3 linked regions of the Saccharomyces cerevisiae S288C genome follow. The gene in region 2 interacts genetically with the main gene of each other region. Each region holds a gene or a part of one and is shown on either strand. Other genes may lie near its edges.

Region 1 (3,784 bases), on a different chromosome or scaffold from region 2:
AAAGAGAAGCGCACTGAGGTGGAAAGGAAAAACAAATTAACATAAATGTATGGATGTATTATTAAATGTACTGATGTTTATCAAAAAAACTGTCTTTGAAAGTTAAGTACAAGCTAAACATTTACTCAGTAGCGGTAGTAATATTATATAAAACATGGTAAACTTTAGTTGTGTTTCTATATATAGATATATATATGTGTCTATCTATCTATATAAGTTTTATAAATCAGTAAAAATTTTTGTTAGAACATTACATTATAGGAAGACTTCGGCATTAACCTCTACAAAGGATGCAGCGAATGGAACGTCGAAATTCATCATGACTTCAGGATGCAAGACACCCAAGTGGCCGATTTGCTTTGGCTCAGCGCCTTCTTTGGATCTGAACATGACCTTGGCACCTCTACCTGGGAAGTAGGTTTTCACAGAATCGTCTTCTTCAATCCAGTAACCTCTGCCAGAAGCAGCAGCACCGTAGTCTGCAATCCACTCTGTTCTAAAAGTTTGCATGATTTTACCCAATAACCCTTGAATGATTTCAAACCCAGAATTCTTACCCACGTAGATGGCAGCCCAGTGACGTTCATTGTACGCCTTCCTTTCTAGTTTGTCGTCTTTAAATACAACGTCACCGGTTTCAAAGACTTTGATTGGCAAGGAATGTTTTCTGTTTTCCTTGACTGTCTTTAAGATACCAGGCAATAAAGTGGTTCTAACAACTTGGTATTCCAAAGTCTTTGGGTTGGCCAATTTGACAGCTAAATCACCATTGTCGGATTGTCTTAGAAATTTAAAGTTTTCATCGTGCGAACATAAGGTCAATGGTAAAACCTCAACCCACGTGGCTTGAGAGGATGCAACTCTGAAAATATCAGAAACCTTGTTGATTGGTAATGGTTTGGCAATGAAGTTGGCATTGGATAATTTCTCACCCTTTGGCAAATTATTGAAACCATAACCGACAGCGGCATCTTCCATTATATCACAAGCGTGCAAAATATCAGGTCTAGTTACCGGAATGTCAACGTGCAAGATGTCCTTGTCTTCCTTTGATTGAACGGCATGCAACGACATCTTCTTTAGACAATGAGCAATTTCATCAGCGGATTGATCTAGGCCAAGACAGGAGTTGATGTACTTAATGGAGACATCCATAATTCTATCGTTGAAGTTTGGCGCCAAACGGGATTGGCCATTGTGTTCAGAGACAATTTCTACAGGCTCAACCGTGAATGGTTCGTCACAATAACGTGAGAACATTGTAGTTAATATGTTCAAAACGATCTCGGCTTTGGTCTTATCGGTGGCGGTTATATCAATCAAAATGTTACGGGTGTTCACAGAGATCTTCGAATGTTCACTATTGATTAATGGTGGCAGGGAGCAAACACGATCTTTGCTGTCCATAATAACTGGGAAGACTGGAGAATCCTCAATAATGTGAACGTATCTCCCTATGTTGTTTTTCTGTTCTGGAGATTTATAAAACTCGATCAATTTGTCACCAGTAAACTCTTGGGTTTGATTCAATGGTACGAACTTGATGTCCTTTGGTGGTAGAGCTCTGTAATGGAATGGACCTTCAATTGAATCTAAATCGTGAGTACCCATGGCAACCAAGCTTCTGTTTCTACATAGATTGGCATGTAATTTATCTTGCAAGGCAATAAAAGAAGCGTAAGATTTTTCGTTAAGCTTGATATTTCTCAATACAGCAGCGGTAGCAAAAGGTCTAATTTGCTCCGTTGATTTGTCGATGATCAACTTAGTGGTTGGCTTGCTTAATTTATAGTCAGGTCTTTCTTTACGTTCCAAGTATTCGTTCAGCGACTGTGAAATACCTTCGATACAAAGCAAATCGTAACGATTGGCACTGATATCAAGCTTCAATTCCGGCTCCTCCCCGGTTTTCAAGGCCTCCTCTGTGGTGTCTTCGTCCATTTCCATACCGAATTCAAAACATAATTCATCGAACTCTTGGGAAGTGTAGTTTTTGCCTAGAAGATCAAATAATTGCTGCTTGTTCACGGAGACGGTAGGCATGCTGGCTCGGTGTTATTGATGTGTGTTATGCTATTCTGCCCTATTTTTTGAACATTTGATCAACTCCAGGCTTTCGAGAAATACATTGAAAATTTTTCATTTCCTTCAATTTTCTTTCTTTTTTGGTACCGATTCTGAATAATCGGTCACCTCGTGTGTCGTGATAAATAATCAAGAAGATGTACTTTTATACAAGGGTTGTAGTCATCTGGGACACTCTCAGAGCACTGGCTCTGACGACAACCATCAAACGCATGCTCATACGTATAATTCAAGCCTTACATACACTGGTATTCCCTTTGGGGTGTTTCTTTTTCCTGTCAAGTTGGGCACTTAAAAGAACTAATAAAAAATCAGTGTGAACTTTTCGATTTGCAAAGAAAATGAAAAAAAAGAAAAGGAGCTTTCACAAATAAACAGAAGAGATCAAGATGAAGTGGTTGTTGTTTCCGGCAAGAATCGTAGCTCGCACTCGCCCAAACCTCTTCTCGCTGTACAGAAGATCCGTTTCACAGTACTTACGTCCTCGAACCATCCAAAACCTGCAATCAATGGCGCAAACACCCGAACTTAAAACCAAGCTGTTCAAACCCTTGGTCTGGATCGACTGCGAGATGACCGGTTTAGACCACGTGAATGACAGAATTATCGAGATTTGCTGCATCATCACCGATGGACACCTGGCACCCGTCAAAGCGGCCGATGGCCAAGGAGACTCGCATTATGAGAGCGTCATCCATTATGGTCCCGAGGTGATGAACAAAATGAACGAGTGGTGTATTGAGCACCACGGTAATAGCGGTCTCACCGCCAAAGTTTTGGCAAGTGAGAAGACTTTGGCCCAGGTAGAAGATGAGCTGCTCGAGTACATCCAGCGCTACATCCCAGACAAGAACGTTGGCGTCTTGGCAGGCAATAGTGTACATATGGACCGCTTGTTCATGGTCCGCGAGTTTCCCAAGGTCATTGATCATCTCTTTTACAGAATAGTTGACGTCAGTAGCATCATGGAAGTTGCCCGCAGACACAATCCCGCTTTACAAGCACGTAATCCAAAAAAAGAAGCTGCCCACACTGCTTATAGTGATATCAAAGAGAGCATAGCTCAATTGCAATGGTACATGGACAACTACTTGAAGCCACCACAGGAAACAGAGTCGGTCGAGTCAATCGGATCTGAACAGCCGGAGTCACCATCTTCATCTACCTCATCTTTGAAAAGACAACGCACCGATTTTTAATGTAGAAAAAAAAAAAGAAAAAAGAAGTGAAATTTTTCAAATATTTCACACACGAAACATGACTCCTGGTGAGAAATGACCCTTTCAGGTTGCTTTGACCATAAAGGTTTGACTCTATCTCTTGGGTTTCTCATGTTCGCTTTTTACTCTGTATAATTTTTAAATTCATAATCATCTTAGACCGAACCATGAGTCTTCTTCATCTTGTTTTATATATAATGCAGAACTTGCTTCCCTTAGTTTGCGTTCAGTAATCTTTCCTTCTTCTAGTGTAACCTTTACGAAAGATACTACCCCATAGCAAAGCATAACAGCTTAAACCGAATCCTCCTTAACATGCCTTACACTCTATCCGACGCTCATCATAAGTTGATCACCTCTCATTTGGTGGACACCGACCCTGAAGTGGACTCCATTATCAAGGATGAAATTGAAAGACAAAAGCACTCCATCGATTTGATTGCTTCTGAAAATTTCACCTCAACCTCCGTTTTCGATGC
Region 2 (5,635 bases):
TTCGTCTTCATCTTCTTCGAAATCATCATCCGCCAAATCATCATCTTCTCCTTCGCCTGTTTTACTTCCTTTTGCTGCCCCATCACCCGTCGACGCATCATCCACATCTTCTGCCAACTCCTTTAACTTTGCCAGCATGGATAGTCCGATGTTTTCATCTTGTAAACCTGTACCAGTAAAAACATCATCGGCATTATTAAACTTGGAGATTGCCAATAATTTTTTCTTGTTGATCCCCATTACATTGTACAATTCATTGGGAAAGAGGTTCAAATTATACGGATGATCATCAATAGAAATACCTATTTTCCTTTTTTTCAAATATTTATCGGAATATCTTTCAATGCCATCATTAGTATCGTCTTCGTCTAGGATTATGTTGGGTTTGCGTTTACCGCTCTTGCTGTTTTCCTGTTGATCTATTATCAAGCTCATTGATCCGGTATAAAATGGGCCATCTTTAACAGTCTTTCCAAAATTGATGTACTTTACTGCTAAAGATCTTTCCTTATTTGTTATAGGACCATTGATGGGCAATGGGATGGATGGAAATTCCGTAATATGATTTTTGCCTACATCTCCATAACCTAATCCGAAGGGTAGATTGCTCATATAGTTGCTCCCGCCACCTCTACTGCCGCCCCTATAAGAACTCATGTTTGTTCGGGGTATATATGCTCGGTACTATCAAGTTACAATATCTTTCTGTCGTGTTGTTTTCTATAGGTTGCTGCGATGAGGAAACTATTTTCTTCTTTGAGATTTTTTCAAATTTCTCTTCATTTTTCATGCGGCCGCACAAGAGTTGAAACCACTGACGAAAGCAATTTCAGTTCATTGAGTTACACCTAGCGAGGCACTTCTTTGTGGAATGGTAGCCATTGTATTGAGATTTTTCTTGTCGACCATCAGCCTTTTTCTTCATAAGAGAAAAGAAGATCTCGTTCATGACTGCTAATTACTTTGAACGATCACCTCTGCAATGTGACATTTGTTCGAAAGCCGCCCATTAGTATTGAAAATAATTTATATTTTCAATTGGCTAGACTACGAAATTTGGACAAGCCATTGCTGCGTAATCCTTTCTCTTCTACGTCACAGTACATCTCTTTAAACCTTTTCGTTTCTCGGCTGTTTAAGGAAAGTATCGTCTTGCCGTATCTACATAAATCAATTCTTACCCATTTTCTTTTGCATTCTAGCCGTTAATTCACGGCTTAGTCGTTTGATATCGTGTTTGAATTGTGAATTGCATCATTCATGCGGAATGGGAATCATCGCAGTCGTTATCCGTCTCACAAACGTCGGCATTTGCTGACTATTAAGGCGACACGTAACCTACAAACTCAATTTGAGACGCAAACGCAAGTTGATTAGACGTTGAGAATGATGCAAGTAGCAACATCGGTAATGGTTAGACTATTTTATCAGAAAACTATAGAAAAACTAAAAACAAAACAATGTCACAATGACAAAGAGGAACCCATACATACACAGAGAGCCTATTCTTCCAGTAGTTCCTCAATATCAGCATCACTATCTGGGTCCAACCCTTGGTTTCTTCTCTTAGCCTCTTCCAAAGCGTTTTCAAACAACTCCTGTTGTCTTTTAACTCTTCTTCTAGTTTTCTTACCCCAACCGAAAGAAGTTGTTTCTGCTGTTGCAGCATCATCTGGCTTGTCGATCAGGTCTTTTGATCTCTTTTCCTCTTTGTCTCGTTTGTCCTTTTCCACTTGGGCAGCCAACTGCTTCTTCGCCAATTCCCTGGATGCGATATTTCTTAAGAGTAAATAACCACCTACAATTATCACCAATCTTATAAAGTGCTTGTAGTCATAGTTGACTAGTTTTGCCATCCAGGTATCCACCCATGTTTCCGCTACTTCAGACATCTCTTTCAATTACTCGGCAGTTTTTCTCTTCATAACATCTTTTCCTCATACAAACCGCCGAGTGCACATAAATACAACTACAAATAATAATATGTTGACATCGGATGGAGATCACTAACTAAACCGCCACCGCGCTAATTCTGCACAAATTCAAATTTCATCATCGCTCTCCACGTCATCATGGACGTCTTCCACCTCGGCGGATTCTTCGTCTTTTGATAGAATTTCCACAGCCCGCGGACGCACAAACGATCCGTGACCCGGCGCCACAGGCCCAAACAGTGTTACCCCATTTATGCGCCCATCGTTTTTGCCTGCGGCTTCCGGGAATTCCACACCGCACCATGTGCCCATCACGTCCAACGGTAGTGGTCCTACGTACCGTAAAATGGCCTCACGTGGAGCGCTCCCGTCTACTGTGACACGACAGTGGCGGCCGATAGCCGCCGTTAATTGCTCTCGGGCATATGCTTCGTCCTGCTTTGCCAGCGCAGCGCGCTGGCTCTGCTGTGCAGCATTAAACCTACCATAGCCGTGAGCCATCTTCCATCGTAATACGGATTGATCCCTTCGCAAATAATCCTCCTCGCTAATTACTTCCATTGAGGGGATTCCTTCCGCTTGCGTGGCCAGCTGGTTAGAGATTGATTGGGCATTAGAGTCTGTAACAACCACAATAAGCTCCTCCTCTCCTTTTAGGAAGTTGGCATCTTCATCCTCATTTGAATAGGCACCCCCCTTTTTAGTACTATATATCTCCTTGTTGTCGTACTGTCTTTTCACAACTATTTCCATATCCTCTGGTTCCACTCCGGTAACATGGTACAATCGGTCCTTGAACTGCCTTAATTTAAGCGAATTTGGTAATTCCTTTTCTGTACGGACCAATTCACTCTCTATGACAACTCTAACCATAGTTTTGCCATGTAATTTTTTTTTCTATCTCTTTATTTGAATTCGTTGCTCTATGTTCTTGTCGCTTGTCTTCTTCAACTGCCGTTTCCCTGCGAGCCGGAAAAAAGTACTGTTCTTTCGAACAAAGGCGAAAAAAGCTGTAGCTGAAAACAGACAACTGGGAAACGACAATTAAGAATACGCATGTACGTGTATACTACTACAGTAAAAAAGAAAGTTATTTGAGAGCAGCACTTTGTTTACTACACAGAACATTAACCAAAAAAACATGCATCAGCAACACTCCGTATGTTTCACTTCTTATTTTCTTCCGTGGCAATAACCTTCCTTTTGACTTATTTATACTAACATTATAATAACTATGTTTCCTTTTTGAACTAAGAAATCAGAGAACAAACCACAACAGCAAAGGAAAAAATTCGAAGGCCCTAAAAGAGAAGCTATTCTGGATTTAGCGAAGTATAAAGATTCTAAAATTCGCGTCAAATTAATGGGTGGTAAATTAGTTATAGGTGTCCTAAAAGGCTATGATCAACTGATGAACTTGGTACTTGATGATACAGTAGAATATATGTCTAATCCTGATGATGAAAACAACACTGAACTGATTTCTAAAAACGCAAGAAAGCTAGGTTTGACCGTCATAAGAGGTACTATTTTGGTCTCTTTAAGTTCCGCCGAAGGTTCTGATGTACTATATATGCAAAAATAGGTTTAATAATATAATCTCATATAAACTCCCTTCCTTACAGTTGAAAACAAAATCAAATCACGGTATGGCATTTCTTTACATATTCTCAATACCTGACTGACATAGTATGCGCTACATAGTTTTGTCCTATTTTTTTTACACCGCGATTTGAAGTCTAAAGCCAGAGAATGAGGAAAAACGAAACAAACTGAGATCATTTGTATAAGGGGAGTCACTGTACAGCTGCCAATACCAATTTTCCTTCTGCCAAATCAAAAAAGTATCCGCATACACATACACCCCTCCCTCTACAATCTTAATTATTTACTGATTCCTTTCGTATTTGTCCAGTATGAGCAATACTAAGCATACCACTTCTCATCACATGGAACTCAAAAGGATCATTATCCTTACACTTTTATTCATACTCATAATGTTGATATTTCGAAACTCAGTGTCCTTCAAAATGACATTTCAAGAACTACTGCCACGATTTTACAAAAAGAATTCAAACTCAGTTAGTAATAATAACAGGCCCTCATCTATTTTCTCGGAAAACTTGGTGGATTTTGATGATGTTAACATGGTCGATAAGACCAGACTGTTTATTTTTTTATTTTTCAGTTTCATCATTACTATACCGTTTATGGTATAAATTAGAAAAGTTAAAGCAGCATGTTTTCATTTGAAACAAATACTAATGCAATAATAGGTACACCATCTACTACATAATTAATTGATAGTTTCCTTTTCCGTTAAGTGCATGCATAGGACGCCCATAATTTTTTAAGTTAAAAAAGCATGTATTTACCTATTCGGGAAATTTACATGACATGGATGCCATAAGGAACGAAAATGAAACATGCATGTCAGAGGAAAAAGAACAAAGCGAGAGGAAAAAGCTGTTGCATTACCACGTAATTTTGTATATAAATATCTGATAAATAACCATTTTATTTCCATCCACTTCTTCTGTCGTTCATCCGTTCATTGACATCACTAGAGACACCAGCGAGCTATCATCTTCATACAACAATAACTACCAACCTTAATGCAACCGATCACCACTGCTTCCACACAAGCCACTCAGAAGGATAAATCCTCTGAAAAGAAAGACAACTATATAATCAAGGGCCTCTTCTGGGATCCCGCCTGTGTTATCGCTTAATTTTTGACGACAACCAAGAGGTCAAATCAATATCTACCCTTTCATTTATTACGTGTTGCTGGCAAACTAATTTATTCCAATTCTCTCATCATTAGCTCACCCTTTCCATACTTTTTCATACTTTTATACATATGTATTTGTAGTTATCACTTTAACAGATTTTTTCATGTTTTTCTTTTCTGATACGCCTTTCCCTCCGCAGGAAATGAAAGATGAACCACCCATTACATTCGATTTTTTTTTTAATTATATTTTTGACTATTATTTAATCATTAAAAACACATATATTTCATAAATTCGTAAGGTCGTTAGTTCTATCGTAAAAGTGAAAAAGTTTTGAGCCAGTTTTCAAAAACCCGCAGGATCCCACTATGTATGGCTTTAAATAATGGTTTTTCACGTGCATCAAGTCCGTACTATCTTCACCACTATAAACTCTTATAGGTGGATTATTCGTTTCGAATGCTGGTGGCAGTGCCGGTTTGAAAATAATCTTACCTACCCATGGGTGGTCTTCCGTTAACGGTTTGATGCATCTTAATGAGTCTTTGATATATCTTTTCCTTGAAACTAGTTGTGTCGCCGGTGCCCACTTCGAATCGTTACTGGATTGATTCTTATTTCCACATTTTAGTGACAATTTCTTTGGAAAATCATGATTTAAACAACCAGTCACGGAAAAGCTTTTCGTACTGAATATTGTACCGTACTCAACGTCCGCATTCTCATAGCGAGATTCTCTTTCATCCAAATATACCAATCTATTGATGTCATCATCCTCAACATATCCATCTTCATCATCCTCTTCGTAATTAGCATCGTCTTCGTCTTCGTCATCATCTTCATCTCCATTTACATCTTCATTGCCACGGTTTAACTTTTCTTCACGATTCGTACGCTCAGCAGAATTCGAAATAGTTGACCTTCCTGTTCCCTCGTATACCGGTTCAAAATTATTAATTTTCAACA
Region 3 (3,457 bases), on a different chromosome or scaffold from region 2:
AGTACTTGCTTATAAGTTTTCATTGAATGACTTTTTTCACCAGCGGTATAGCTCTGAAATAATTTGTGCATATACGATCTAACTTCTTCTCTATTGTAAGGTTGTTTATTCGCTCTTTTAAATTTCTTATTTGTGGATGATCCATTGGCGGTGGAACTACCCTTTATATTAGCAGGCGGCGCGGTAGATGCGATGGTTTTAGTCTTCGTATTAGCAGGTTGTACAGCCACGGAATCATCTTTTCGTGCCTGCTGTTGCTGTTGCTGTTGCCTTGGAAGGGCTTTGGCAGCTGCCTGCGCCCAACCTGTTAATTTTGGCTTCTGAGGAAGCACAGCGGGCGTTGGACCATTTGAATTTGGACCTGAAGCAGATAAAGTAGCCTTCAAAGTCGAGGAGGTTCTGCCATCTACACTGGTTGTTGAGGTTGTTGTCATTTCGTACTAGATTAAAGGGAAAATTGTATCGTAAATAAGTAATAAAGTTAATGAAAATTCGGAAACAAAAATGGATAGATATTAAACAGTGAACAAATGAAAAATTTCAGAAAAAAAGAATTAAAAAAAAAAAGGGAAAAAATATGCACAAGATCGTATTATTTGTTGTTCCTCGTATTTTTCTTTCTATTTAGTCTCACATTTTTGACACATGCCTGGTGTTATATATACATTACAATGGAAAGTTCTTTTCTCTTTCTCCGAATAAAGTAGCGGTCTATTGATCACTTCTTACGCTGGGTATATGAGTCGTAATAAATAAAATCATCAGAATCATTCGTAAGTCATTTTACTTTTTTAAAAAGATAATTACAGTTTTTGGGTCTATATACTACTCTAAAAATGTGGTGGTGGCTTAATGCATCTTTTTTACAGATGAACCTTCGTTATGGGTATTGACATCGTTGCTAATGCTGACAGAAGGCACAGGCTCATTCTTGATTTTCTTGTTCACTTTCTTGTCATGTTGAAGAGCGGCATACTCAATAGCTTGTGGTGGGAGGGTTGTATCGTTGATGGCGGGAGAGTAGCCAATCTCCTTCAAAGTGTCAACCATTTGATCTCTAACTTTTTCAGCAAATTCACCAATTTTGTCCTTTGTTAAGTTCTCGGTTGAAATAGGTTTTAAAATTCTAACAATCATACAGCCTCTGTTGAAGACCCCATATTTAGGACTTACTAAAGTACTGGTATTGGAAACAACCACTGGAACAATGGGGATCTTACCCTGTTGTGCCAAATGGAAAGCACCCTTCTTGAAAGGCAACATTGTCAGCTCACTCGTGTAAGACCTGGTACCCTCAGGAAAAACCCATAGAGCACGCTTGTTTTTCTTAACATTTTCTAAACCTTTATTCAAGGTGTCAATGGCTTCTTGCCTTTTAGATCTGTCTAAGAAATATGTACCACTCAAAGCCATGAACCAACCCAGAAAGGGGACGTATTTCAAAGACTTCTTGGCAGTAACTGTGCAACCAGGGGGGAAAATCCTACCTAACATGAAGATATCCAAGGTGGATTGGTGATTGGCAATCATAATATATGGCTTCTTGGCCAAATTCTCCTCGCCAACGACCTTGACGTCAAGGCCAAGCATCAATTTCATGACATGGTAAAAACAACGCGCAGTAATCCACTGAGCCAAATGTTGCTTACCGATTAACGTGCAAAGGATAGAGGCGATTACACCGTAAAAGCCACAGCCTGCAAGCGCCAGTACGACCAACACGGACCTCAAGTAATACAAGAACCTACCTATCACACTCATTATTTTTTTGCTCGAATTCACTGACGGAGGGAAACCACTAAACTTCTCTATTGAAGAATTCCCCCTTCACCTTAAACCCTTCCTAATATAAGTATTTTGAACACCATACCATATTCTCAACAAAACAAAGGAAGCATAATTGATATCATCATTCACGAGATCCATCTCGTGACCGTGAAAAAATTTTCGTCTTCGTCTTAGTGTAATGTGTTCAGCCCAACCTCATCGCAATATCTCAAGATTTTTGAATTACAACCAAATCAAAAGCACAGAGTCGCATCTCATCGCTATGATGTATTTTTTTCTTTTTCCAAAAAATGGGTTCTATTTGGTTCTACTGGAACTAAAGTAGCATCTGCAAAGAAGTAATGTCTGAAAAACCACAACAAGAGGAGCAAGAGAAACCACAATCAAGACGTAATTCATTTGCTGTGATTGAATTTACTCCAGAAGTCTTGGACAGATGTTTAAAGCAAGTGGAATTCTACTTTTCTGAATTCAACTTTCCATATGACAGGTTCTTGCGCACAACAGCGGAAAAAAACGATGGATGGGTCCCCATCAGCACCATCGCCACATTCAACCGTATGAAGAAATATAGACCAGTGGATAAGGTTATCGAAGCACTACGTAGTTCTGAAATTTTGGAAGTATCTGCTGATGGAGAGAACGTCAAGAGACGTGTTCCTTTGGACCTAACTGCTGCCAGAAATGCCAGAATTGAGCAAAACCAACGGACTTTGGCTGTAATGAATTTCCCACATGAGGACGTTGAAGCTTCCCAAATTCCTGAATTGCAGGAGAACTTGGAAGCCTTTTTCAAAAAATTAGGTGAAATCAACCAAGTGCGTTTGAGAAGAGATCACAGAAACAAGAAATTTAATGGTACGGTCTTGGTGGAATTTAAGACAATTCCAGAATGTGAAGCTTTTTTGAAATCGTATTCCAATGACGATGAGTCCAACGAAATTTTGTCATATGAAGGTAAGAAACTGAGTGTTTTGACGAAAAAACAGTTTGATTTACAGAGAGAGGCCTCGAAGTCCAAAAACTTCAGCGGTAGATCAAGATCCTTTAACGGCCATAAGAAGAAAAACTTGCCTAAATTCCCCAAAAATAAGAAGAAAAACGGCAAGGAAGAGTCAAAAGAGGACTCTTCTGCCATTGCCGATGACGATGAGGAGCACAAGGAGTGATTCTTGTGTTTCTTCTGGTTCTCGTATCTCATTATCATAGCATATTAAGAATATATGTACTAACATATGTACTAAACAGAAACACAATATGAATTACAACTAATACTATATTATTTGTCTCCTTTTTTTATTAGTATTAAAAATTACCGTTACTGGTTAAAATGGAATACAGCTCATCCATTTAAAAAAAAAAAAAAATAGAATAACAATAATTAAGCAGAAAAAATGTTAACGAATATAATAAATCGATTTGTCCATTTTCATAAATTTTTTTTTTGTATTATTTCATTATCTGTGCCTCAAAGCATTAACTTTTCTTGCAGTCAGAGAGAGTCTCTTGCGTGGATTATACCAACCGCCATTATCAGCCGGCATAGGGGCCGGCGTAGCATAGTTACTATCAGCTGTAATTATGTATGACCACCCTGGTGTTACGGTAGTATGTTGATCAACGGAGTTTCTTAAAGTGTAGTAATACGTTACCTCACTGGTCGCGTACT

Evidence for each region. Genes that interact genetically often act in the same process or in processes that back each other up.
Region 1: mutations in LSM7 (region 2) and REX2 together harm fitness more than expected from each alone (negative genetic interaction), as found in Saccharomyces cerevisiae (3 studies listed by BioGRID).
Region 3: mutations in LSM7 (region 2) and LHP1 together harm fitness more than expected from each alone (negative genetic interaction), as found in Saccharomyces cerevisiae (4 studies listed by BioGRID, with this or other methods).

What each region holds. Positions count from the first base shown.
Region 1 is NC_001144.5:259,238-263,021, reverse strand, and holds REX2 (Rex2p), read left to right. Parts: upstream 1-2,474; coding exon 2,475-3,284; downstream 3,285-3,784. Other genes in the region: FRS1 (phenylalanine--tRNA ligase subunit beta), read right to left, coding at 256-2,043; glycine hydroxymethyltransferase SHM2, read left to right, coding at 3,621-3,784. UniProt on the Saccharomyces cerevisiae protein: 3'-to-5' exoribonuclease specific for small oligoribonucleotides.
Region 2 is NC_001146.8:347,865-353,499, forward strand, and holds LSM7 (Sm-like protein LSM7), read left to right. Parts: upstream 1-3,075; coding exon 3,076-3,093; intron 3,094-3,189; coding exon 3,190-3,519; downstream 3,520-5,635. Other genes in the region: RPC31 (DNA-directed RNA polymerase III subunit C31), read right to left, coding at 1-657; PGA2 (Pga2p), read right to left, coding at 1,503-1,892; ALF1 (Alf1p), read right to left, coding at 2,043-2,807; YNL146C-A (uncharacterized protein), read right to left, coding at 3,522-3,716; YNL146W (uncharacterized protein), read left to right, coding at 3,851-4,153; MFA2 (mating pheromone a), read left to right, coding at 4,550-4,666; MPF1 (Mpf1p), read right to left, coding at 4,956-5,635. UniProt on the Saccharomyces cerevisiae protein: Component of LSm protein complexes, which are involved in RNA processing and may function in a chaperone-like manner. Component of the cytoplasmic LSM1-LSM7 complex which is involved in mRNA degradation by activating the decapping step.
Region 3 is NC_001136.10:361,823-365,279, forward strand, and holds LHP1 (tRNA maturation protein LHP1), read left to right. Parts: upstream 1-2,129; coding exon 2,130-2,957; downstream 2,958-3,457. Other genes in the region: PBP4 (Pbp4p), read right to left, coding at 1-434; 1-acylglycerol-3-phosphate O-acyltransferase SLC1, read right to left, coding at 850-1,761; KNH1 (Knh1p), read right to left, coding at 3,246-3,457.